Rhinolophus ferrumequinum: one gene and its partners. The protein of the gene in region 2 binds, or shares a complex with, the protein of the main gene of each other region. Links are inferred from orthologs where the notes say so. Each region holds a gene or a part of one and is shown on either strand. Other genes may lie near its edges.

Region 1 (7,902 bases), on a different chromosome or scaffold from region 2:
AAATAATGGCTTACAGCTGAAAGAGTTGCAAGGTCCAATCTCTATATAAGAAGGAGTTTTGGGAGAAATCCAAAGACAACAAAGACGCTAGAGGAAATGGAAGCCTCTGATACCTACTGGTACCGCAAACATGAAACACAATCCAGCTCCTAAACAGATTAATGTAAAACCTTACCTTAAATGCTTAATCACCTCAGTTTTCACTACCAGATATATTATATTTGGTTTTCAACAAAAATTACAAGGCCTATTAACAGGCAAGAAAAGTAATAGTCTACAGAGACAAAGCAAGGATCAAAACCAGACTCAGATATGGCAAAGATTTTGTAATTATCAGTCAAAGAATTTAAAATAACTATGAATGATATGCTCAGGGGTCTAATGAAAAAAGTTGAGAATGTGCAAGAACAGTTGGGTAATGTAACCAGAGAGGTGGAAACTCTTAAGAAAAAAATCAGAAGGAAATGCCAGGAATGAAAAACATTGTAATGAAGATGAGGAATGCTTTTGATGGACTTGTCAGTAAACTGGACATGGTCCCAAGGAAAAAATCAGTGAGCTTGAAGATATATCAATAGAAAATTTCCAAATTAAAATGCAAAGGGGAAAAAAATGAAGAAAAAAAATCAGAACAGAATATGTAAGAACTGGCACAATTTCAAAAGATGTAACATATACATAATTGGAACACCAGAAGGAGAGGAGAAAGAGAATGGAATGGAAGAAATATTGTAAGTAATAATGGCCAAGAATTTTCCAAAGTTAATGACAGACACCAAACCACAGATGCAGGAAGCTCAGAAGAAACCACACAAGAGAAATGCCCAAAAATCTACACCTAGCTATATCGTATTCAAACTAAAAAGACCCGAAGACAATGAGAAAATCTTGAAAGAAGCAAGAGGAAAAGCATCACCTTTCCTATAGAGGAAGAAAGATGAAAATTACATCAGAAACCATGCAAACAAGAAGAGAGCGGAGTGAAATATTTAAAGTGTTGGTAAAAACAACAACAACAACAACAAAACACAAACTTGGAATTTAATATCCAGCAAAATTATCCTTTAAAAGTGAAGGCACTCAGGATGGCTGGTTAGCTCAGTTGGTTAAAGCATGGTGCTGATAACACCAAGGTTGCCGGTTTGATCCCCACATGAGCCACTGTGAGCTGCGCCCTCCTTAAAAAAATGGGGTGGGGGATGGAGAAAGATATACCATGCTAATTAATACTAATCAAAAGAAAGTGGGAGTAGCTATATTAATTTCAGACAAAGCAGACTTCAGAACAGGAAAATTGTCAGGGATAAAGAGGGGCACATTGCATAATAATAAAGGGGTTAAATTATCCAAGAAGACATAACTATCCTTAATGTGTATGAGCCTAACAACAGAGCTTCAAAATATGTGAGGCAAAAACCAATAGAACTTCAAGGAGAAATGTCAGAGTGCCTTGCAAATAGGATATGAGAGCAACAGTGCAAAAATTAAGTTCATGAAAGTTACCATTTTTTCCAAGGGCAGCAGGATTGTTATAGAAGAGCTAAAAAAGTATAGCAATAGAGCAAAATGATTTCCAAGATACCAAATCTTTCTAGATTTCTGTTGAAGAAGCTGCCGGAACTCTCTTTTATAGGATTGTAGAATCTGCCCTCAATCCTTTGACAACTAACACTCTCACCAGTAAACCTTTTAATCCCCCAACTAATGAAATGTATTTCAGGAATTGGAAATCAACAGAATTCACAATGAGCCCCAACCTCCCTCTTCTCAGCCCATCAAACCCCCAAATTCCATTGTCATACCCCCAAGGGGATTTTTTTCCTTTCTGTAGGCCTCACTGGATTGTAGGTGCTTTTTGAGTGATACTTATGTTTCCACTAGCCAAAGGCATATTAACTTTAATATTTCTTTGGCAGATTATTACCAAAGAAAGAACTATTGCTTGCTATATGGAAATAAATTGATAGGTTCAACAACTGTCACTTTTTTAAGATAAGTAAACACATCAGAAGAGAAATGTTTCAAGCCTGAGCAAATGGCTTTAAATATGGAAATTTTTTTTCTAAATCCCTATGCTCAAACATTAAAGGACATAATTGCTAAGTTTGAATCTTTCCAACATCTGGTAGATGCTTTCCCATTCAGCCAGTAAGTCTACACTGCAACATGCCAGCCACTGTGCTGAGTCCTGGTGATTGAAAGTTTAAAAAGATCCCATTCCTGTCCTCTAGGGACTCACAATGTGGAAGGAAAGACAGACATCTCAATAAATACATTTTACAAGCACTATTATTAGCTATCCCTGCAGAAGTGCTGTATAGAAAGAGGCACAGAGAAGGTGATTTCAGAGTTTGACCAATAGATAGGAGTCGTCAAAGAAGGGAGGAAAGAGCATTCTGAACAGAGAACATATGTAAACAGCACAAAGAATGCAACAGAGGTGCGTTCAGATTCCTAAAAGTAGTGGGCATTCAGCAGAGAACAGGTTGCCAGAGCGCAGGATGAGTAACTACCTCAGATGCATTTATCCAAGTTCATGTTGATCATGTTCCCATTTGTTTCAGATCTGGTTATGCACTATTGAGTTTTAAACCTTTGTTGTGGCCCACTCCATCTAAGACACGTGTCATGCAGACTCATACACCTATCTATTCCTCACGGGGGCTTCTGAGGCTCTCCAAGTTTTCATTTAAATTTACAGCATCATAGCCCACCATTTTTTGAAGTTCCACCAGGTTCCTATAACTTCCTACCATCCCATCCACTTCCTTACTCCTATGCCTTTGCTCAAGCTATGCCTCTCTATGGAATGCTTTTTGCCTCCTTTTCATTGATCAAAATTTTATTTTTCCCTGAAGACCCATCTCAAATCCCTTCTGTCCCCCCATACCTTTCCTTATTTCCCCAGCCTGTGCTCCCACGTACCTCAATTTAATTTTGCTCTGCAGTGCAGTCCTTCACATATCTGTTTTTTCCAACTAGAGCAGAAACTTGTTGAGGGCACAGGCAACTTGTGTTATTTATTGTGTGTTCCCAGCCCATGGCCTGGAATGTGGAGCTTGATAAATATCTCTTTTGAATGACATGTTGTCTCATCACCTTTGTGATCTCATTGGTCCCTTCTCTAGTTTCACAACTGAGTTGCTCCAGCTGGGCAAACCTTCTGAAGCTCAGTTTGTCACTGAGGGTGAGATCAGAGGAGGAATAAGAACACCACCAGAGGCATAGATTCGCAACGCTGATGGCACAACGAAGCCACTTGGGGACCTTTTAAAAAATATAGTTGCCTAGTCCTCACCTTCAGAGATCCTGGTTTAATTGAAATAGAAACCAGGCATCAAAGTATTTTTTTAAGGTTCTCTAGGTAATTCTAAAGTGCAGTCAGTTTTGAGAACCACAGTCCGAAAGGGCAGGTGGGAATAGTCACCAGGCCCCAGATAGGAATTAGAATAATTTCTAATTCACTGTTCTCAAAAGATGAGGCTTTCCTCAGGAAAACATAGCTAAAAGAATGGAGGCCACACATGCCAGGTAAAGTTGACTTTTTCTGGGGAAATCTTTGCCACAGGAGTCAGAGTTACGCTGTGAGAGGAGTCACCCCTCGGGCCTGGCCCTGGTCTTCACATTCCCATTCAGTATGCCTGGAGAATCCCATTGTGCCCCACACCTATGCGGGTATCTTTAACAGGAAGTGACAGCCATTAAATGAACTGAAATAAAAACACCAAACACTAAATCGTCAAATGAGTTATGAAAGCCTGAGAGTGTCCGGTTCCCTTGAGGGTCTCCAACATGGATGTCCCCTATGGCGCTCAGTCAGTGGAATGGAGGGAAAGAGCCAGACACAGAGGGGAGGACCCCTTCTTGCACAACTCCAAGAATACCATGCATATTGTATTCCATGTGAAGAGTATCCCCTGGAATTGTGTAATGCCACATCTTGACACACGGATTTTTTTCTGTCCTCAGACCCAGGAGATTCCTGGTAGTGGCCTTTATCTTGGTTCTGTTCCCAGCCTTCTTCTGGCTTGAAGCTGTCACTTTGAGCCAAAGTGAGGAACGAAGAGCTTCATCATCAGAATACCTCTGCTGGAGTCTTTTCCTACCTGATGATGTCATCATCAGAAATTTCCCTAACTGGCAGCTTTTGTCAACACATCTCTGATTCACCTGATGTGTTACACTATTGTGGTGCACTCCAGCCAGAATCGGTCCCTAAGTGTGTCAGTGCCGCAGAGTTTCAGAAAGGGTGTCAGTTTCTCCTCAGCATCACTACACTTTGGCCTTATTACTTAAAGTATACACAGAGGAAGAAAGTACATATTTCTAGAATTTGGTTGGTGTGGGGTTTTGTTGAAGGGAAATCAAATTTAACAATCTACGAGCAAAGAAGAGCTAAATTGACATAGTGGTATCTATAAAAAATTATCCCAGCAGCACCTGGCAGAGAGTAGGGACCTAGAAGTTAGTTTCTGTTGTTCTTGGAGGATGATAAAATGAGTGTGGTAGTAGTTGTGGGTGGTGTAATCTGAGTATATTTTTAGAGAGTGTGGAGAGAGCAGCAGGGTCCTCAAGGTAAGGAGAAGATTATTTTTTTCTTTAAACAATGTTGTGGGAATGAAAAAGAAATAGGAACTTAGCATGAGAAAGTGTTTTTGTAAACTGTAGCACTATATAAAATGTATGTAGTTACTAGTCACAAGAGATGTATAAACCAAATGCCACAAGGGTTTAAAGGAGAGGAAGAAACCACATCCCGTTATGGAAATCAGGAGGAAATGACATTTACCACTTAATAAGGAGGTACCTTCTTCAAGAAAGATGTCTTCTGCATGGTAGAGCAGGGTCACGATCACTGTTTGGCCCACAAAGCAAGCTGGTTGTGAGAATAGATTACAAGTTTTGTGTCAACCATAGAGCACCATACAAATACAAAGTGATGTTATTGTAGTTATTTTTGGTGATGGAGACGTTATCATCCTTATTATGGACTTTGAAGATACTGGTAACCATTCAACAGGTAGAGTTGTCAGGGGAAAACCGTACAGGTAGAGAGATGAGGGCTGGAGAAAGTTCCACAGATTTTCTTGGCTGATGGAGAATCCTTCTGTGTAATATAACATCTTTGAGCGTCGGTTATCACCTATTCTATCACAAAGGTCTGTGACAATGCTGGCAACACAATGTTGAATAAGAAATGCTGTCTGCCTTCAGGGAGCTCACCTCAATTTGGTTTTAAGGATGGCCTCAAATGGCAGAACAAAAAATTTATAGGGAATGGAGAACTTTTTAGAGCAGAGGAGTGAAATGGTCTGAGTTGTACTTTAGGTACTCCTGACCAATTATGTAATTCCACTTTAAACCACCTCAGTGTACCACCAGGAAATATTTTAAGTTAGCAGGTGAGTGATTGAGCTTTTCTACCCTCAGACTTCAGAACCTAGAATGTCTCCCCCCTCTAAATAGACTTTATTTTTTAAACTTTATGAATCAGGGACTTGATTATGTCCTTCTTTTCAATGGTTGTTAGAATGCCTAAGTCAAATTTAACAAGTACATGGGACTTCACAGCATGAATGTGAATACTTACGTCAGCCCTGGCTTACTTCTCCCACATTTGTTTTCTTTTTAATACTTCCTTTAATACTTGCTTATAAAATATCTTATTGAATTATATGGAGTTTTGTAAATCATCTTTATTCCTCCTGAAATAAGGTTAAATTATAAGTAAAGATCATTTCTTTTTTTTTTCTTTTTCTTTTTTTTACTTCTTATTCAATTAACTTCTGATATAGAGTATTTGAAATGTCCCCTGGGAAAATTTGCATGGATGAGGCATACTGGAAAAGTAACATTACATTCATTTCTTTCTGGTACTACTTTTGATCTTCTAACTTTTAAAATTTGGTTCAAGTCATGTATAAGATAACATTTGAATATAATGTGAATCTATTGGTAACTGAATATTTTTGCATTTAGAGTTAAAGTTTGAATTTTGTTTTCAAAAGAATTTAAGAGAAGATACAAACTTAAAACTATCTAAATCTTTGTTCCTATGTGTTTTAAAAATTCTATTTAAGTTTAAATAAAAGAGCTAAGATTTGTACCCTATCAGAACATTAGAAGATAAAATCTGTTATCCCGATTTTTAAAAATCATATATATATAAATGCATTTAAAGTGGAATGAAACCTGTTCTATTACTAAAAGATATTGGTAATGCTCGGATCACATTGCTAAGTCAGAAGAAAGGAAGATATAGAAAAGTCTGTATGTCTTCCTATATTCAATCTCCCTTATCATTTTAAACTTGCATTTTTAAACATTTGAAAGCAAGATAATCTGTAAAAATTCAAAAGTAGTAAGGACATTTTCCTCCATTAGAAAAATCCCTGTTTAGAGATTGCTTTTAGGGCCAATTTATAAGACCCTCAACTAAATCTGTTTCCTTGGTTTATGTGTAGACCCTTAATCTTTGCCTTCCTTACTTCCCCACCCTCTCATTCAATTGACTAGGTGATCAGAGTTCATCTTTTTTTCTTGTTTTTAATAGACTTGACTGTTTCTAAAAAATTAAAAAATTCTTCAAAGGACAGTGACTTTCAACCAGTAACGAAAGAAAGTAAACTTCAGAATGGAATTCTGAAAGCAGAATTTAGATATGTTTGCAGTAAAGGCAATATTATCAGAACTGAAAAGTTGCCTTCAGGGTTACTACAGGAGGTGGAGTGGGTATTGGTCAGATCAGCTCACTATAGTTTCACCCAGACTTCCGAAGAACACATTATTGCTGCTGCGTTCACTGGTTTGGGGCATAGAAAATTAACTACCATCCAGTTGATTTTATGATTTATATTTGAGTTTGATCTTAAATCTGATAAACTAATACATAAATATGTCTGGTAATAATCCAGCCTACAGTATAACTGATGAACTGGTTGAATGGCTGATGCCTTTGTAGTAAACTCGTGTTGCTTCCTCAGGATCGCTGCTTTCTTTTCGATGCCCAACAAACAATCTGTCTAAACGTTTCAGAGGTTTATGTTAGACTTACTTCTTTTTCTGTCCTTTCAGGCTCAAATCATTTCTCTATTTAGAAAAATCAGAACATACGCTTGTTTCTTCTCACCTCTATGATGTCTCATAATGCCTCAGAAGACAATCAGCAGTGTTTGTGTTTCTTGTATATTATGGGATAGAGTATATCTGAGTTTAGAGATTGAAAGTCATGCAGAATAATTAAGGACATTCTTCCTCCTCATACATCTTGAGCCATGGTTCTCTACTGTTGTGGTTTGTCTAACCCTTTTGAGTTCCTAGTATACTTCCATTTGCACCAGAAGACAATGGAAATTAAGTTGAAATTGAATATAAAATATCAGATCTAGTAAAGCTATTAGATCAAGTCCAGATAAAGACACAGTGAGGGATGTAATCTGTCTTGTTCCTTATGGAGACAAGTGCATTGGGCTATAGCAAATCTAATACTATTAAATACTGGACTCATGTTCTAATTCCCTTTCTTCTGAGTCTATGCTTGTGTGCAGCAGACTTTTGATAATATTTTGGCTTTTTGTGTAGATCTATCTATAGATGAGTAATATACTTATCAGAGGATCCAAGTCCCTAGTTATAAGTTAATAAACAAACTTTTTATACATCAGGGTGTATTAGTGGGTTTCCACCTGAGAGAGAGAAAGTAGAGTGAGAGAGAGAGAGGGAGAAAGAAATCCACTCTTACCATGCTGTTAAATCAGGTTCCCAGGTGTAGCCCTGGGAACGTGGAGATCACACCAGGGTACTCTGAGGCCTCTTTGGGCACCTAGCAACTCTTCAGCTTGGGATACTTTGATTCCATCTTGTTGCTAGTTGTCCACAAACACCTGCTCCGTGAAGACAGTC
Region 2 (7,586 bases):
GCCCCACTTCCGGCCAAACGGAGAAGTGGTTGCTGGAAGATGAAGTTTTCCTGGTGATAATGGTTCCCTCGTCCCAGTCTTCTCCCTCCCTTGGATTCCCCTCCACTGGATCCCATATTCTGGCACAAAGTCTGGCCAGGTGACATACATCTGAAGACAGAGTCCTTTTAGCAGCCTCCACACGCGAAAACTTCCTTAATCCAAAAGGTTGTAATAAACTTGGATGTGTATATCTAAAGCAGGTACTATCAAACTTTCTCCACAGGAACCCACAATAAAAAAGTTATTCTTTCCATAAGGACCCAATACACATGTAGATAAAGCTAAAGTTTCAAGAAACAACTCAGAGTATCTCATCCATCACAATAAAAGCACCCTTTTTATGCACAAGGAAAAGCTACCCCAACATCAACAGAATAAACTGAAATATATGACCATCCCTCCAACCTCTTTCCCACCACCGATGACTAAAAAACAAAAGGGGGAGGGAAGGAATACAAAGCAAAATCCAGTTCAGCTTGGTTTCCTCTTTATTAATGTGCCTCCTACCTTCCCCCCACAATTTCAGTCCCTTCCATCTACCCCAAAAAAAGGTAGTGAAAGGAAAGGATTGTTGGGGTTCTGAGCCCCTTGAGCAGTTAGAAAGGGAACAGAAACCAAAACAATCACTGGATGTGACAGAGATTGACAATCAAGAAGTCTAAAGCAGAGTGGGAAAGTGGTATAGAAAGGGGAAGAAAGGAGGAAGGAGAGGTACTAGAGGCCATCTCCACCCATTAACCCTCCTGCTAAGAGGGTCTGGGAAAAGAGCCTCAAACATTAGGAAGTGCAGGTCCTGAAGGGAGGTGGTGTTTGAGCCTGAAGGAGGAGGTGGTCAAGGAAGGGGGGCCACCTCTCTCTTTGTAGAATGGGACCCCCCCACTGCAGGGGCAGCAGTTTCACAGACCATAGACACTTTCGTCACTGTACGCAATGTATAGAAAGAAGTCTTCTTCATGGTGTTCCTGGAGTGAAAACAGAAAATGATGCTGCTCAGACATCTGAGCTTTAGTTACCTAAACCACCTGCCACCCAAACACATGCTTTAAAAACCATTCTTTTTGAAAACTCCCAAAACCAGTGCCTTGATTCTCTTCATCACTTGCTCCAAGCCCTAGTAGTCTAGTCGGATTATCCCTAGAAGCAGCCCTGGGCAAAAAAGATCTTCAACTGTTCTCTGCTGCTGTGGGGAGGGACTAGGGAGAGTCAGAATTAGAATACTTGCTCCAGCTCACTGTTCTCTCCCTTCTCTCTACTCCCACTGCCTGCCCAAACCCCCAACTCAGGACTATCCACAAAGTTTCAGGCCAAAGATAAAATTGAGAGCTCAGCAAGCCAGCTAGTCCAAGAACTACCGACGTAAAACTTGCTTCCTCTCACGCTCTTCCACCTCCTCTCCAAAGCCTCCATTACGTCCCAGTCCCCGTACCTGGTATAGCTGACCCATCGTGGCACTGGTGGGTGGAATGACATTGTTGACAAAGAAAAACAAGGCATCCTCAGCTCGGAGATGAATTCGCTTCCGGATCAAGAAGTAGAACTGACCAACTGCCAAAGATACAAGGTGTGATAAAGTCACAGATAGCACAAAAGCCCTCAAAAGAACAGCTGCTATGTGGAGCCTCCTCCCACAGAGATTGCACTCACACCCACAGGAAGCAAACTTGAGTATTGGGTCAGGTTCCCACCTGTGAGATCAGAAGGCACCAGGTATTTCTTTTTGTCAAGGTCTCCTATCCGAGCTTTGGGAGCCTTTTCTACTATCACCTGATAAAGGGAAGATGAAAATTAGGAGACAGTAGGTATAGCGTCCCACAGCTCCACCTGTCAGGAACTCAAGCAACAGTATTTCTAGCACGCAGACCTACCCCAGACTCAATTCTTTGTCTATGAACACGCGGTGCAGACCTGAGTAGAGATTCTAACCCCACTGACTCAACTCACCTAATCATCCAGGTCCCTGTCATAATAAATAATTACCTTCATTAGACGGGAATGACTTGTCTGGGGCGACTACAGCTTCAATCTCAAGAACTCGGGGGAATGACCATGTGACATTCAGACTGTCAAACTCCCTACAGCCTCCCACACGAATCTCAAGGTCTATCTCTCCCATCTACACCCCCTCACCCCCAGCTACCACCGCTACCCCACTCCTTTCACCTCCGGTCCCAGAGACAGCAGTTTCAGGTTCGTTCCCAACCCTGCCACAGCAGGAAGCTTGATACCCAAACTGCCCGTCCCCGACCCAAGCCCAGGCTGTGGCGTCAGCGCCAGCACCAGCGCCAGCGCCCCGCGCCCTCGGCCCTGGCTACGGTCCTCACCGGGACCCGGTCCGGGTATTTCTTTCGGATCTTCTCGCCCTCAGAGCGGCGCTTCTCGAACGGATGCTCCTCTTTATACACGAACTTCATCCTCCCGGGAACCGGGCTGGACAAGGCTGGGCTGAGGGAACCCGGGGGGGCCGGGACTGGGGGAGGCGGCGACGGCGGCGACGCGCGGGCGGATTCAGCGGAGCGATCCCAGGACTTGCGCCACTTCCCTATTCACCAACCCCGCCCCCGCCCATCAGGGGCCGCCCTGCCTGCTACATTACGCCACTAGCGCAGCAGCCCTGACGCCGCTAACTTAGCACCACCTACTGACCACCCCCCTGCCCCCGCCACGCCGTCAGCGTAATAGCTTCGGAATCAACTTGTGGGTTACGCAGGCGACGTAGCAAAGGTGGTTGGCTTTTGCTACCGTCAAAAATAACTGAAAACCCGTTTCCCGACCTTCCCCCACGAAGCTAGGGGTGAAAAGAAGCTAGGAGATAGTAATCATAACTTGAGACTTATTCATCAAAAATTCTTTTCGGACATAACGTAAAGGAAAAAGCAGAGAATTACAAGGATAGCTATTCAAGAAATGTGCTGGTACGCTAAAGACGGCCGTTGACACCAAAACAAAATAGTACCCAAATGGAGGAGGTGGCCTTCGGAAATACAGGAGCGCAGAAACGAAATATATGTTTAGAGAGATGCACAGAAAGCATAAGTACCAGGAATGAGTGGACCAAGAGGGAATGTAAAGGTCCGAAACGTTTGGGACTACGTCAGCGCGGAAGAACACCACTAGTATTTGTATCAACGAAATCATGTGATCTCAGAGAAGGGCGGAGCATCACGTGGCAGCTACAAGGAAGTAGAGCCGGCTTCGGGGAGGAGGGCGCGGGGAGCCGGAGGCGGGAGGGAGGTTAACCTGACCGGGGAGTGGACGGCCTGTGGCACAAGCTACCTGCGGGCGGCGCCCACTTAGCTTGTCTACGTCAGTCCCCCCAGCCCAGCCTCTCTCCAGCTATATGCCTTTTCTGGCATTCAGGCTTCTCCTTTCATATTTCTGTGTCTTGCTCTGGAGCTCGAGTCTTCTCCAGACATATAGCTGTACTTTTCGCTCCCAGCCAGGGCGCTGACCCTTCACTTCCCGCCAAATCATCTGATGTCAATGTTCACTACTTCATCAGACAACCCAACACCACATTTTCCCCTTACCCCTTGGGCCCAACAGCAGTCTCTCCCCTCTGCCTAGAGGGCAGGATGGATGTGAACAAAGACCCCTCCCCTTCATTTACCCAAACCCCAGAGAAGGACCTAGGGCAGCTTTGGTTTCCAAGTTATAATGCATGGTTTAAAAGAGAGGAAAGAAAAAAAGAGAAAAAAAAAAAAAAAAAAAAACTGGTTACAGGTCTGAGGAAATCTAGGAAAAAGGGAAAACAGAGGGAAAAGTAAAGGGAGGACAAGTTTGGGGAAAATCCAGTGGCCCAAATCCCAGTTTCCCACCCACAGCCCAGCCCTTGGAGTAAAGAATTAGATCAGTTTTATACAAGAGTTTTAAAAAAATCAAATCACAACAAAGCTGGCTTGGCTTCTCTCTGAGCCTCCTGGATTACCGAATGTCTGTCTCTCACTCTGGCCAGTCCTGTCTCTCCACCACAGACACAGTTTCGGCTCTCCTAGGCCTCTGCTTATGTCCCAGTCTGGGGTTTCCAAGGAGTTTGAACACGAAGTTAGAGTGAGGCTGCTTCAGAATCTAGCCCATGTGTCCATCCAGACTCCATACAGAGTGCAGGGCTCCCAGGGCAGAGAGGGGAGGGAGGGGCAGACCCTGCCCAGGCAGTCCTCACCATTGGACAGGGCATCAGACGGCATCCTGAGGGCTCACCCTCCCTTTCCCCCCCACCCCAACTCAGGTGGAGGGGGAGCAGCTGTCACCAGAGCCTATGTTGGTGAAGGTTTCGGCTCAGCACAGAACGAACATCAGCGGTGAACCTGGGATGACAATAACTTGCATTGGTAGAGTCCTTATAGTTAATATCCCCACAACACTAGTGTGAGGCAGCCTCACTGGAGATGTGGGGCAGAAATGATCACCATTTTCAGATGATGTTCAGTTTGCCCAAAACCCAACGGCTAAAAGTGATGAGCTTTAGTCTAAGACCTGGGCTCAAATGCTAAATTCTTAGGGAAGAGAGATAAGTAAGTAAAACAGGTCAAACTTTTTTTTTTCCTCTTGGGATTCCCCCACCTCCTCCTTTCCTCAGAAATCTAAGTGTCTAGCTTCCCTTACCTGAGGGCATCCAGCATTGGAAGCAGGTTGAGAAGGGCGGTGTCGCTGGGGTCACTGAACCAGGATTTGATGGGGATGGCATTGTCTAAGTTGAGTGAAAAATGCACATGAGAACAAAGGATTCAAAAGAGACAGGGTGTTTTTTTCTTTTATTTGGGAGTAAGGATCATTACTTTCAAATATATACCTTCCACCCAAACTCAATAATCTAAGTAAAAACCTTCTTGATTTATCCTCCAAAATAAAATTAAATTTCGATCACCACATATCATACTAGTGTGAGGCCTCTGGTCAAACTTATTGTCATTGTGTCTCACCTGCTTTTAAGAAATCTGATTTATGAAATGATCATGTGGGAGAGAGGGGAACGTCTCACTTAGAAGAGAAACAACTTGCATCCTGACCTACAGTAAACCAGGCATCACAACTCCACGTATTCAAAATACCTCCTCAGAACCACTTCCTGGTCCTGCCAGACTCACCACCTTCCCCCATACCTGGATGGCTCCTGTAAGCCCCCGGGGAGTTATCCAGGATCACAATGCTGGAGAGGTCACTGTGGACCACAGAGAGGTCCTTGATGTAGCTGCCCAATTCCAAAGTGCAGTGCTGGAAGGCAGGGTAAGCTGGGCATCAAAAGGAAACTCGCTCTCTGTGACTGTCCTCCCCCCCATCCCAACAACGCCTTGGGCAGCCAATTCCCACAAAGGGGATCATGCAGTATACCACCGCCCACACACATACGACTAGAAGGTCCCATTTCAGGGCAATTGCTTCCAACTCAAATCACTCCCTGGTGGTCTGCCTCTGGAGCTTCACTCTTAGACCTGGATTCTAGCCCCTTACCTGTCTGTAGTATCTCCTCTTGAGAATGCTTCTGCTATTGTCCAGTTTATCTGCCACAGCAGAGCCATAAATCTCCATGCTTGCTGTGAATACTACCAGCTCGTACCACTGGCTCACCTGAAATAGACAGGGGAAAGGGAGGTGTCAGAAGAGGTGATCATCCTTTAGATACACAGTTCCCATTCACCAGGACTGCAGCCTTGTCCTTCAGGACTTTCAGCAATATCAAATTATCTCTAAGGACACAAAATTGTGAACGCCCCCAAACTCAAGTCTTAGGCACCATACACCCTTAAGATTCAGAGATGCAAGAACAAAAGAACAGGAAGCCTGTGGAAGAAAAGAATTACATCAGCAAAACAAATGAACCCGAACTAGTGAAAGCCATTCTCCAACCATCCCACAGCCTCCCCTCTTCAAAATTGCCCTTATCCATTTCTCCTCACCCCTTACTTCCTCCAAATTCTCTAAATTCCCAGAACCCTAAAACCATTCCTTCATAACAGAGCTCCCTTTGGCTTTCGCAAACTCACCACTTCTAAGAAGAAATCCACATGGGGCCTCTTATGTACAAAAAACCGGACAGGATGTTTGTCTATTACCACCTGTAGAGGAATAGGGAAGGGCTAGGGGAAGTACTGAGCACCAGGACATGGCCTAAAGGACACCCTCCCATTGCCTGCTTCCCTCCTTCAGGCTGACACTGGTGCCAGAGGATGGGGATGGAGATGAGACATTCTGGGATTGGGAAAGGGAGTCCAGCCTAAGACGAATAACAGCCATAACCATTCCATTCCATCCCCACACACCTTAAGGATGAAATCAGGAGGTGTTCCAGGCCGGACTGTGGGCCTCAGGACCCCATCATGATGGGAGTGAATAAGTGTCTCATCCAGATCCAGCACCAGGATCTTCCTCTTCACCTGGCCTGAACCACAACAGGAAGGGAAAACATCAACCAACCTCCAGCCCAGACCTTGACTCCTACCTCACATTAGAGGAGTCTTCTCAGCCAGCACACATACCTAGCCGATTCCGGGACACAGGAGATAAGGGAAGGATATCATATCGAACAGTTTGGTACTGAATTACCTAAGAACAAGAGAGAGAATTAGAACCCTTGACAAGGAAATCTTCCCTAGTAACAATAGGTAGCACATGTTGAATATTTACTATATGTTGGGTACCGTGTACATGATTCAGGATTATTTCATTTATTTCTCAAAACAACAACAATAATATCATCTCTGTTTTAACGATAAACTGAGGCTTAGAGAGGTTAAATACCTTGCCTAAGGCCACACAGCTAGAAATTATCTTATTTAGTTGTCTGTCCCCACAGTTAGAATGCAAACTCCACGAGAGCATGGATTTTTGTCTCTATCATGGCTGAATTCCTAGAACACTGTAGCAGGGGTGGTCAGTTCATCTTAGAATCTATGAAGTGGTGCAGCCAGGATTGTATCCACGCAGTCTGACATAAGAGCTCGCCCTCTTAACCGTATTATCCTGCTATACTGAACAAAGAAATGCACAGCCCTCCCCACCTCCCCCCTAAGGATTCTTCATGACAACTCCCATCACCTCCCGCTAGAAACTGAGCTTCCTTAGTGTAGTAGGAACAGGAGTCAAGAGGGGAGGTCCTTGGGTCCCTAAGGGGAAGAGAGGTTGAAGCAATCCAGGGGTTGTCAGGTCAGCTAAGTTCCTCTGGCTGGGGGCCACCAGGCCTATTTTAACCAGCCACCTGTCCATTTCTGTCTCTAAGAGCCAAGTCACAAGTTGCAAAGAACCTCAGCCCTTTCAACAGCCTCCTTTTCCTGGTACCTAGGGCAAGGCAGAGAACGCTGGAAAGCCCCATCTGCCAAGCTGACTGACAGGGTGTGTGGAGAAGGCCACAGTGAAGTAAGGGCTGTGAGTGAGAAGTGAAAGGACAAGGACATCACCCCTCAGCCTTCCAGCTTCTCCAAGCCTTCTCTAGAGGCTCCTATTTCTAATATTCGGATCTCCCCCATGCAAACCCTGGTAATTCCCTCCTCTGCTCTTTCCTTTGAAGGCACCAATGCTTTTCAGTCCATCCCTAGAGCCTTCCCCAGAAT
Region 3 (7,668 bases), on a different chromosome or scaffold from region 2:
TGCTAGAATGGAATATTTTCCAGATGGAAAATTGGTCACTATCTGCAAATACACATTTTATATTACAAATTTAAAACTGAAATTTCCTTTCAAACAGTAGACTCCTGTTTATTATTATTATTATTATTATTATTATTACCAGTGAGTTTACGACCATTCTGAACAGTATTTCAAATGAAATCAACATTCAGTCACATTAAACATATATGCATTTTTTTTCCTTCTCAAAAAGGGAGAAAACTAAACTAAAACTTAGCAAACTGTATTTAAGTTAGAACACACTTTGTTAAAACCCACTAAAGTTTTGGAAATCTACTACACTGTTCTGAAGAAAAATATACTTTCAAAACCCTATCTAGTAATTCCTATCCAATAAGTTTTCTATTATGAAAATTAAAATTCAAGTTACTGTATTTGTGGCACTAAACAGAATGTAAGATTTAACAGTAGAAAACTAAATCAGCATAATCTAACAAACATACTGAACAAATCAATACTAGACTTTTAGAACAGTAAATTATTAAATAGGTTGTTTTTGGAGTGCTCAAATTCTCTAACATTAAATTACATTAGTTCAAACAAAACCCTTTCTAAACCAAACCTGAAATCAACCAACTGTCTTTTCCTACAGTAAAGGGAACAGGTATTTCTTTAAGATACTTTCCAAAGCAGTGAAACCACCTTAATGTTTCAACCTATGTACAACAAACCCTGCTGATCCTGTGTATTTCACTGAGGTGCTACTTGTACCCACAAATCATCATCAGATAAAGAACTTGAACTTCCTGACTCAGAATCCAGCTCACTGAATCCACCCAAATCCCATTCAGTACTAGATTCACTCGGTATCTCTTCTTCCTCAGTGAGGAAACTCTGACCAGGTTCAAGGCAGGAAGGATAAACACGAGCTGAGAGGCAAAAAAAGTTAGAATCAAATTGGAAGAGGCCTAATGTGGTACCTATATTAATCCACTGGTCCCCACTAATGTCATATTCATACACAGTCACCCGGTTTTTTTTCCACTGTGGGGTGCGAGAGGTGATCAGCAACAATTTTTCGTCATGAGTGATGATCCGATAGTTGCTGGTCTCTGACACCAAAGGGATATTATTAATCTGCCTCCATTCTGCTCGGACTGGATTGTAGACCTTCATGACCGGGATGTCACAGATACAGTAGATCTCGTCATTGAAGACACAGGCTTCCTGAAAGTCATGGCGCTTAAGAGAAACACACTTCAGCCACATGTTGTGGCTAGGGTCATAGCAGAACATGCGCTTGCTGTTGAGAGCATAAAGATAGTTCTGAATTACCATTAAGTCAAAGGAGATAAAAGAATGGGGTAGTGGAGCCACCAGTGCCCACTGGTTTCTCTGAACACTGTAGCATTCCACTTCCTTCAATTTAACTCCAGTAATAGGGTCTCGCCCACCCAAGATGTAAATGTACCCATTAAGGTATGCCACATCCATGCCCTCACGGCAGAGCAAGCGATCTGCAAGTTGCTGCCAACTGTTCTGGGCTGGTTTATACACCCAGAGGTCTTTCCTGGGCTGGGCAGCTAGATAGATGTCATGGTCTGGAGAGACGCAGACAGCTAAGGTGGTAACAGTCCTAGTGTGAGCAAGGCAGGTCAAAGGTGACGGCACTTTGTAAATATTGCCGGAGTAGGGGTCACAGCAGAGAAAGGGATCTCTGGGATGTCCAAAGAATATCACCATCTCCTTGGCACACACACCCAGCCTCTGGGGTGGATTTTCTGCTGCAGAAACAACAGAGCTGCTGCTGCACTCTGGCTTTGGCACCAGAGACTTGTACAGTATGTCACCATATCGCATCTGCAGGGCCCCTTCAATAAGGTCCAGACAGTACTTCTTCACAATGGGCTTGGTTAGCAGCGCTTCCAGGTAATCCTGATCTTCATCAGTGAAGTGTGTCCAGCGGACACACTTGAAGACTTCCGCAGCGCTGGGACCCCGCTCCTTGGGAGCCGCTTCCAACCACTGCACCGCCACGTGACACACCGTTTGCTCACTCTCGATGTTTAAACTATCCAGGCGCAGCACGGCCAGCAGCTGGGCCAAAGTCAGATCTGCCAGGGTCTCCTCCCGAATCGAACCCATCCGGCTGAGCTGCTTGAAGTTGTGGGCGATGAAGGACTGGGCCTGTGAGCGCAGCCTGTGATGGTCGAAGGCGTCGGCGAACTTGAGAATGGCGGTGCAGTTGGCCAGGTCAAGGCGGCGGGCTAGGAAGGAGGCACAGGCTTCCCGCACGTACTCGAGCTGTAACATGTCCGAGGCTGCATAAAGGCGCTGCACGTTGGACTCGCTTAGCGACACGCGACCCGTGTAGCAGTATTCGACCAACACCTCGAAGGACTCGGCATCCACATCGTGCATGGTCACGTTTGCCTGCTGGCTCTCGTACATGCCGCCGGTGAACATGCTCTTGAAGTAGGGACACGCGGCAGCCAGCACGTTACGGTTGCAGGGGAAGAGGCGGCCCGTGCCAGGCCCACTGCCAGGCGTCACCACCTCGATGGTCACATCACACAGCAGCCGCGCGTCGTAGAAGGACTTGAGCTGTGCCAGCAGGGCTGCAGAATGGGCCGTGTCCTTCAGCTCCTCAGGGCCCGCGAAAAAAGCTGAAACCGTGGGCTTGTGAATCCTTTTGGGCCGCCTCCCACCACGGGGACTGGAGAGGCGGCGAGAGCGCGGAGCGTCTTCCCGAGACTGCATGGTGGAGATGGCCGCGGTGCTGAGGTGAGAACTGGTGTAAGGACCAGGCTATGGCTCCTCACCGGACTCTCGCCAGCCCAAAGATAACGGTATCTCCGGAGAGATAGCAGCACGAGTCCATTTACCTAATTCAACCTTGTGCCGCGGTGCCACCTCCCTTTATCGCATACACCGTGCAGACTCACCTTCTTCCCGTTCCGCGCCCTTTCTCTGTCTCGGTTCACCCTCTCTGGACCCGGGAGAACCGAGAGCGCTGCGGCCACCAGCGCTGGCGATACCGCTATGTGTCCAGGAGAACTACGGTGCCCAGGTAGCCTTTCGCGCCTCGAGGCATGCCGGGCCGCCCGATCCACGGACATAGGCAGATAGGCACAAGCCGCTTTGCATGGTGGGAGTAGTAGTTTCAATAGTATCGCGAGATTTCTCGGCCGTTGTTTCAGCTGACCGAATTAGAAATCGCTAATTATCTCCAATTTGGTGTTACGGTAGAATTTTCGGTTAGGAATCCAGATTAGATGCCCGTTCTAGTATTTATCAATTGTTTTTGGTAAACAATTGATAAATACTAGAACTGTCTCCTGTGTTTTTAAAAAATGTGAATAACAATAGTATTTCATAGCGTTATGTGACAATTAAATGAGATAAATTGCATAGGATATATATTATTTTCTGAATACATACGCATTTATTAGTAAAACAATAAAGTACTTACTCAGTATCTATAATCTAAAGGTTCACTAAGTTTTAGCTTTTCTTCTAGCATTTATGAAAAATGAAGTACCCACTCATTTAAAATCATGAGCCTGTAGGAAAAAAATTTAAACCCTGCAGGTTTCTGCAGAGATGCCTTTAAGTTTTGATTTTCTTAAAATAATAGATTTTATTGTTAAGAATAGTTTTAGGTTTACTGGAAAATTTAGCAGAAAGTTACAAGGAACTCCCATATAGTCCACCCCCTCATATTTTCTCCTGTGAACAGCTTGCGTTAGTATACGTAGTTATTACAAGTGATAAACTCATAGTGATATATGTTAAAATATTTATATTAGGGTTCATTCACTCTTTGTGTTCTACAGTTCTATGGGTTCTGAAAAAAATACATATAATATCATGTATCTACCATTACAGTATCATACGGGATAGTTTCACTGCCCTGAAAATCCTCTGTGTTCAATCTGTTTTATGTTTCCTCCTCCCCACTCACTGGGAACCAGTGCTCTTCTTACTGACTATATAGTTTTACCTTTTCCAGAATGTCATATAGTTGGAATCATACAATGTGTACCCTTTTAAGATATCTTCTTTCACTTAGCAATATTCATTTCAGTTCTCTATGTCTTTTCATGGCTTGATAGCCATTTCTTTTATTATTATTATATTTATTATTATTCCATTGTATGGATATACCAGTTTACTTATCCATTCAGCTACTGAATAATATTTTTATTTCCTTTGAATTTCTGAAATAGTGAATAAACCTGCTATAAAATGTGTTGGTTTTCTTCATGGACATAAGTTTTTAACTCATTTCGGTAAATATCAAGGAGTGTGATTGCTGGATGCTAGATAAGACTATGTTTTGTTTTGTAAGGAACTGCCTCCAGCCATCTCTAGGTTTGGTTTTGTTGCTAGCTGTTGTTTAACCTTAGTATTATGGGAAACTCTCAATCCACTATTCAATGCTGTTCAAAATTCCCACCAATTATATGCTTCACCACTAAGGTGAAAATTCAGATCGTTACCTCCAAAAATGGCAGGATTTTACTAAAGACAACTTACAACTCCAATAGCCCCCTTTGGTTCACTTGGAATTTCCCTAAGCCTGTCTATCTACAAGGTGCCCTCAAATCTTGGGATGCTAAGATCTTGGCTCACCAATGGTCAGCTTATTTTGGTTGGTATGAGGAGGCTGAAAAATAAAATGTCTCCAGTCTATTTCAAACTGTACAGTCTCTTAACGACTGTCTCTTTTATCATGAGTCCATAGTCTCAGGCAGGACCCCTAAGCAAATATTCTTTAATCCTTAATCTGGCTCAGATTTACATGTTATTATTAAAGTTTTTATTACATGTTATTATTTAAAGTTTTTCTGGACCACCATAAAAATAGGGAAGAATCTAGTTATCAATTCATACCGATCCTCAGGACATAGTCTCTTGGGACCCATGATTTATAACAACTTGTGCTACCACTAGTGGGTCCCAGAGATGCCACTTTATTGTTTGAAAAGCCAAATGGGCCACTGTTCAAGCAAACAATCAATGAAATAAATCAGAACACCCCCAAGGCTTACATACAGGCTAAAACCACTTTTAGAATTCATTCCCACTGTCTTCCTTCAAAAACTGATTGGTCAAAGATAGGAGATTACAAAATACAAAGAGATCAATCTGTCTTTAACTATGGACATAGTTTAGAAAATGTTCGGAAGGACTACTCTGGTGTCACTCTAAATGACTGAAACCTTTCCACCTTGGTCGCTAGCTTCATTAAGGCTATGACCAGAAATTACAGATATTATTCAAAACATATTAGAAATTAGTGAGGTGATCTTTCTCTCTCTCTCTGAAATACGTACATTAGGTGAACATCACAAGGACTCTGTTGCAGAAAAGGCCAAATCAAAACAATGCAAACTGAAGACTACAACTTAATTTGAAGGAAACATGCCGGGATAATCTGCTCCCTCCAAAACTGAGATTATTACAGATACTGAAAAGGCACGTAAGCCTTGGTATTAACTGGTCTCAAAATGCAAAAGTGAACAAGAGACTAAAAACCAGGGCAGGCTGTTAGCTCAGTTGGTTAGAGTGCAGTGCTCTTAACAACAAGGTTCGATCACAACTACTTGGCCTGGACCTGATGGGTCCTGAAAAAACACACTTAAATAAATTTTGTTTTTTAAGTTAAAAAAAAATCTAAAAAAAAAAAGACTAAAAAACCATCATTTAGGACTTTCCTCGGAGACACTCTCCTTTTTTGGTGAAAAACTAACTCTTAATGTGCAAGGGGTAATAATCATTGCCATCAATGGATATCCCGCCACCATCCTGGTGGACACAAGGGCAACAATTTCACCATTAACACAATTATTCCTCCAGAATTCATATATTGAAGTCCAAAACCCTAGTAATTAAAAGTGTGACCTTATTTGAAGACAGGGTTTTTACAGAGGCAACCAAGTTTACAGTGAGTTCATGAGGGTGGGCCCTAATCCAATATGACTAGTGTCCTTACAAATGGGGGAAATTAGGACATGCATAAAAGGGAGATGATGTGGAGAGACAGAGAGAGAAGATGGACATCTGCAAGCCAAGGAGAAAGACCTAGAACAGAGCTTTCCCTCAGAGTCTTTGGAAGGAGCTAACATCTTGATCTTGGACTTCTTGCCTCCACAAGTGTGGGATTATAAGTTTCTTTTGTTGAAGCCACCACATCTGCAGTATGGAACAAAGTACCATGTCGGCCCTTGAAAACTAATACAAATACCTTTTATTTCCTTCCCTTGGAGTACACATACGATACCTGCCGTGGGACTTAATCTACCACACGACTTGCCTTTCTCTAACTCTCTCTTTGCCTCACTGATACTTCTCATTACACAGCATAGCTTTCTGCTTAGCTCCTCCGTCCAAGTCGTCTTTCTGGGCAGAGATTTACTCTCCAGTAGGATATCAATATTTTTTGCTCTCCCAAGTGCCTCACCCTGGAAGCCCCTGCTTCCACACCTATGTGTGTTTGCCCTTTCATGATTCTCATTAACCAACAGACTTTTCTTGCGCCTGGAAAGCACCCCGAACACTAAAGTACAAACTATGTTAACTAAAACACCTGACTCCCTCTGGGCTGCTCATTCCACTGACATAAGCCAAACCTGGGAGGCCAAAACTCTCGAAGTAGAACTAGACCCTTCCATGGCACTCCCAAGATTTCCATAACATATTTAAAATTAGAAGCCCTCCAAACTTTTCAACCTATGATTCAAGGCCTGATTGACACATCCTGTAATACTCTGGCCTCTCCCCCCACAGTAAAGAATCCAAATGGCAAGGAATATTGGCTAGTCCAACGTTTGCAAGCAATAAAATAGTTAAACTCAGGTTACCTCGTTAAATAGTTACCTCAGGTTACCTAAATGCAAACCTGAGCAATTTAACCTTTCCCTGCAACTCTTTCCTTATCTAATATGCAGGTGACCTTCTCTGCTCACCTGATTATGACAACTCATTTGCTCCAAGCTTCTGTGCACAATGGACATACAGTTTCTAAAAACAAAATGCAATTATTTGGCCCCCTCAAGAGAATTATCTAGGACATGCTATCACTATTGAAGAGAAGACTTTGTCCCCTAAATGTATTAACACCGTCACCAATTATCCATTTCCTGAGACTGAAAGACAATTCTGATGGTTTCTGGGATTATTTGGCTCTTCTTGGAACTGGATCCCTAGCTTTTTCACTATTGCTCTGCCTTATAGGCCAGGACTAAGAAACCACGCAGATCACCCTAATTGGGACTCGCCCTCCATGTCTGCATTTCAATCTGAAAACCTCTGTGTCCTCTTCTCCTGCTTGTGGACTCTCCAAGTACTCACTTCCCTCTCCCCCTTTTATACACACACACACAAAAAGGATACGCACATTCTTGTTTCCAGGATGGTTAGAAGCTTTTCTCTGCAAACAGGCTACTGCCTCAACTGTAGATAAGTTGCTACCAGAATTTTCCTCATGTGGGGATCCCTTTGTTCCTCACTTGTGATAGAGGAATTCACTTCATAGTCTAAAATGTTACTATCTTTACCACCCTTAATCCTCTGGAAAAATAAAACAGGCCAACAATGCTCTGAAATTCAAACTAGCCAAACTCTCAGGGATTCAACCGGCCCCAAGTCTTGCTGGTTTTGCACATAAGGAGCTTAGAAATCACC

What was found. Proteins that work in one complex are often made in the same cells at the same time.
Region 1: the proteins of GABARAP (region 2) and STX17 are in contact, whole or in part, in a crystal structure (PDB 7BV4), measured with the Homo sapiens proteins. The link is inferred for Rhinolophus ferrumequinum from reciprocal best matches to the Homo sapiens genes GABARAP and STX17. Residues at the interface, in NP_009209.1 of Homo sapiens: Tyr5, His9, Lys13, Glu17, Lys20, Ile21, Arg28, Pro30, Lys46, Lys47, Lys48, Tyr49, Leu50, Pro52, Leu55, Gln59, Phe60, Phe62, Leu63, Lys66, Arg67, Phe104; in NP_060389.2 of Homo sapiens: Ala169, Glu170, Ser171, Trp172, Glu173, Thr174, Leu175, Glu176, Asp178, Leu179, Glu181, Leu182.
Region 3: the proteins of GABARAP (region 2) and kelch repeat and BTB domain-containing protein 6 are in contact, whole or in part, in a crystal structure (PDB 4XC2), measured with the Homo sapiens proteins. The link is inferred for Rhinolophus ferrumequinum from reciprocal best matches to the Homo sapiens genes GABARAP and KBTBD6. Residues at the interface, in NP_009209.1 of Homo sapiens: Tyr5, Glu8, His9, Glu17, Ile21, Tyr25, Arg28, Pro30, Val31, Ile32, Leu44, Asp45, Lys46, Lys47, Lys48, Tyr49, Leu50, Val51, Pro52, Leu55, Leu63, Arg67, Phe104; in NP_690867.3 of Homo sapiens: Ser663, Asp664, Asp665, Asp666, Phe667, Trp668, Val669, Arg670, Val671, Ala672, Pro673.

The regions. Positions count from the first base shown.
Region 1 is NC_046295.1:55,881,950-55,889,851, reverse strand, and holds the start of STX17 (syntaxin-17), read right to left. Parts: upstream 3,008-7,902; 5' UTR 2,926-3,007; intron 1-2,925. UniProt on the Homo sapiens protein: SNAREs, soluble N-ethylmaleimide-sensitive factor-attachment protein receptors, are essential proteins for fusion of cellular membranes.
Region 2 is NC_046304.1:11,589,996-11,597,581, reverse strand, and holds GABARAP (gamma-aminobutyric acid receptor-associated protein), read right to left. Parts: upstream 2,591-7,586; 5' UTR 2,454-2,590; coding exon 2,364-2,453; intron 1,807-2,363; coding exon 1,728-1,806; intron 1,588-1,727; coding exon 1,469-1,587; intron 1,005-1,468; coding exon 939-1,004; 3' UTR 928-938; exon of another isoform or gene 884-927; 3' UTR 513-883; downstream 1-512. Other genes in the region: CTDNEP1 (CTD nuclear envelope phosphatase 1), read right to left, coding at 4,286-4,346, 4,645-4,729, 5,142-5,253, 5,491-5,607, 6,024-6,095, 6,300-6,418, 6,516-6,582. UniProt on the Homo sapiens protein: Ubiquitin-like modifier that plays a role in intracellular transport of GABA(A) receptors and its interaction with the cytoskeleton.
Region 3 is NC_046287.1:8,915,148-8,922,815, reverse strand, and holds the start of kelch repeat and BTB domain-containing protein 6, read right to left. Parts: upstream 3,008-7,668; 5' UTR 2,740-3,007; coding exon 730-2,739; 3' UTR 1-729. UniProt on the Homo sapiens protein: As part of the CUL3(KBTBD6/7) E3 ubiquitin ligase complex functions as a substrate adapter for the RAC1 guanine exchange factor (GEF) TIAM1, mediating its 'Lys-48' ubiquitination and proteasomal degradation.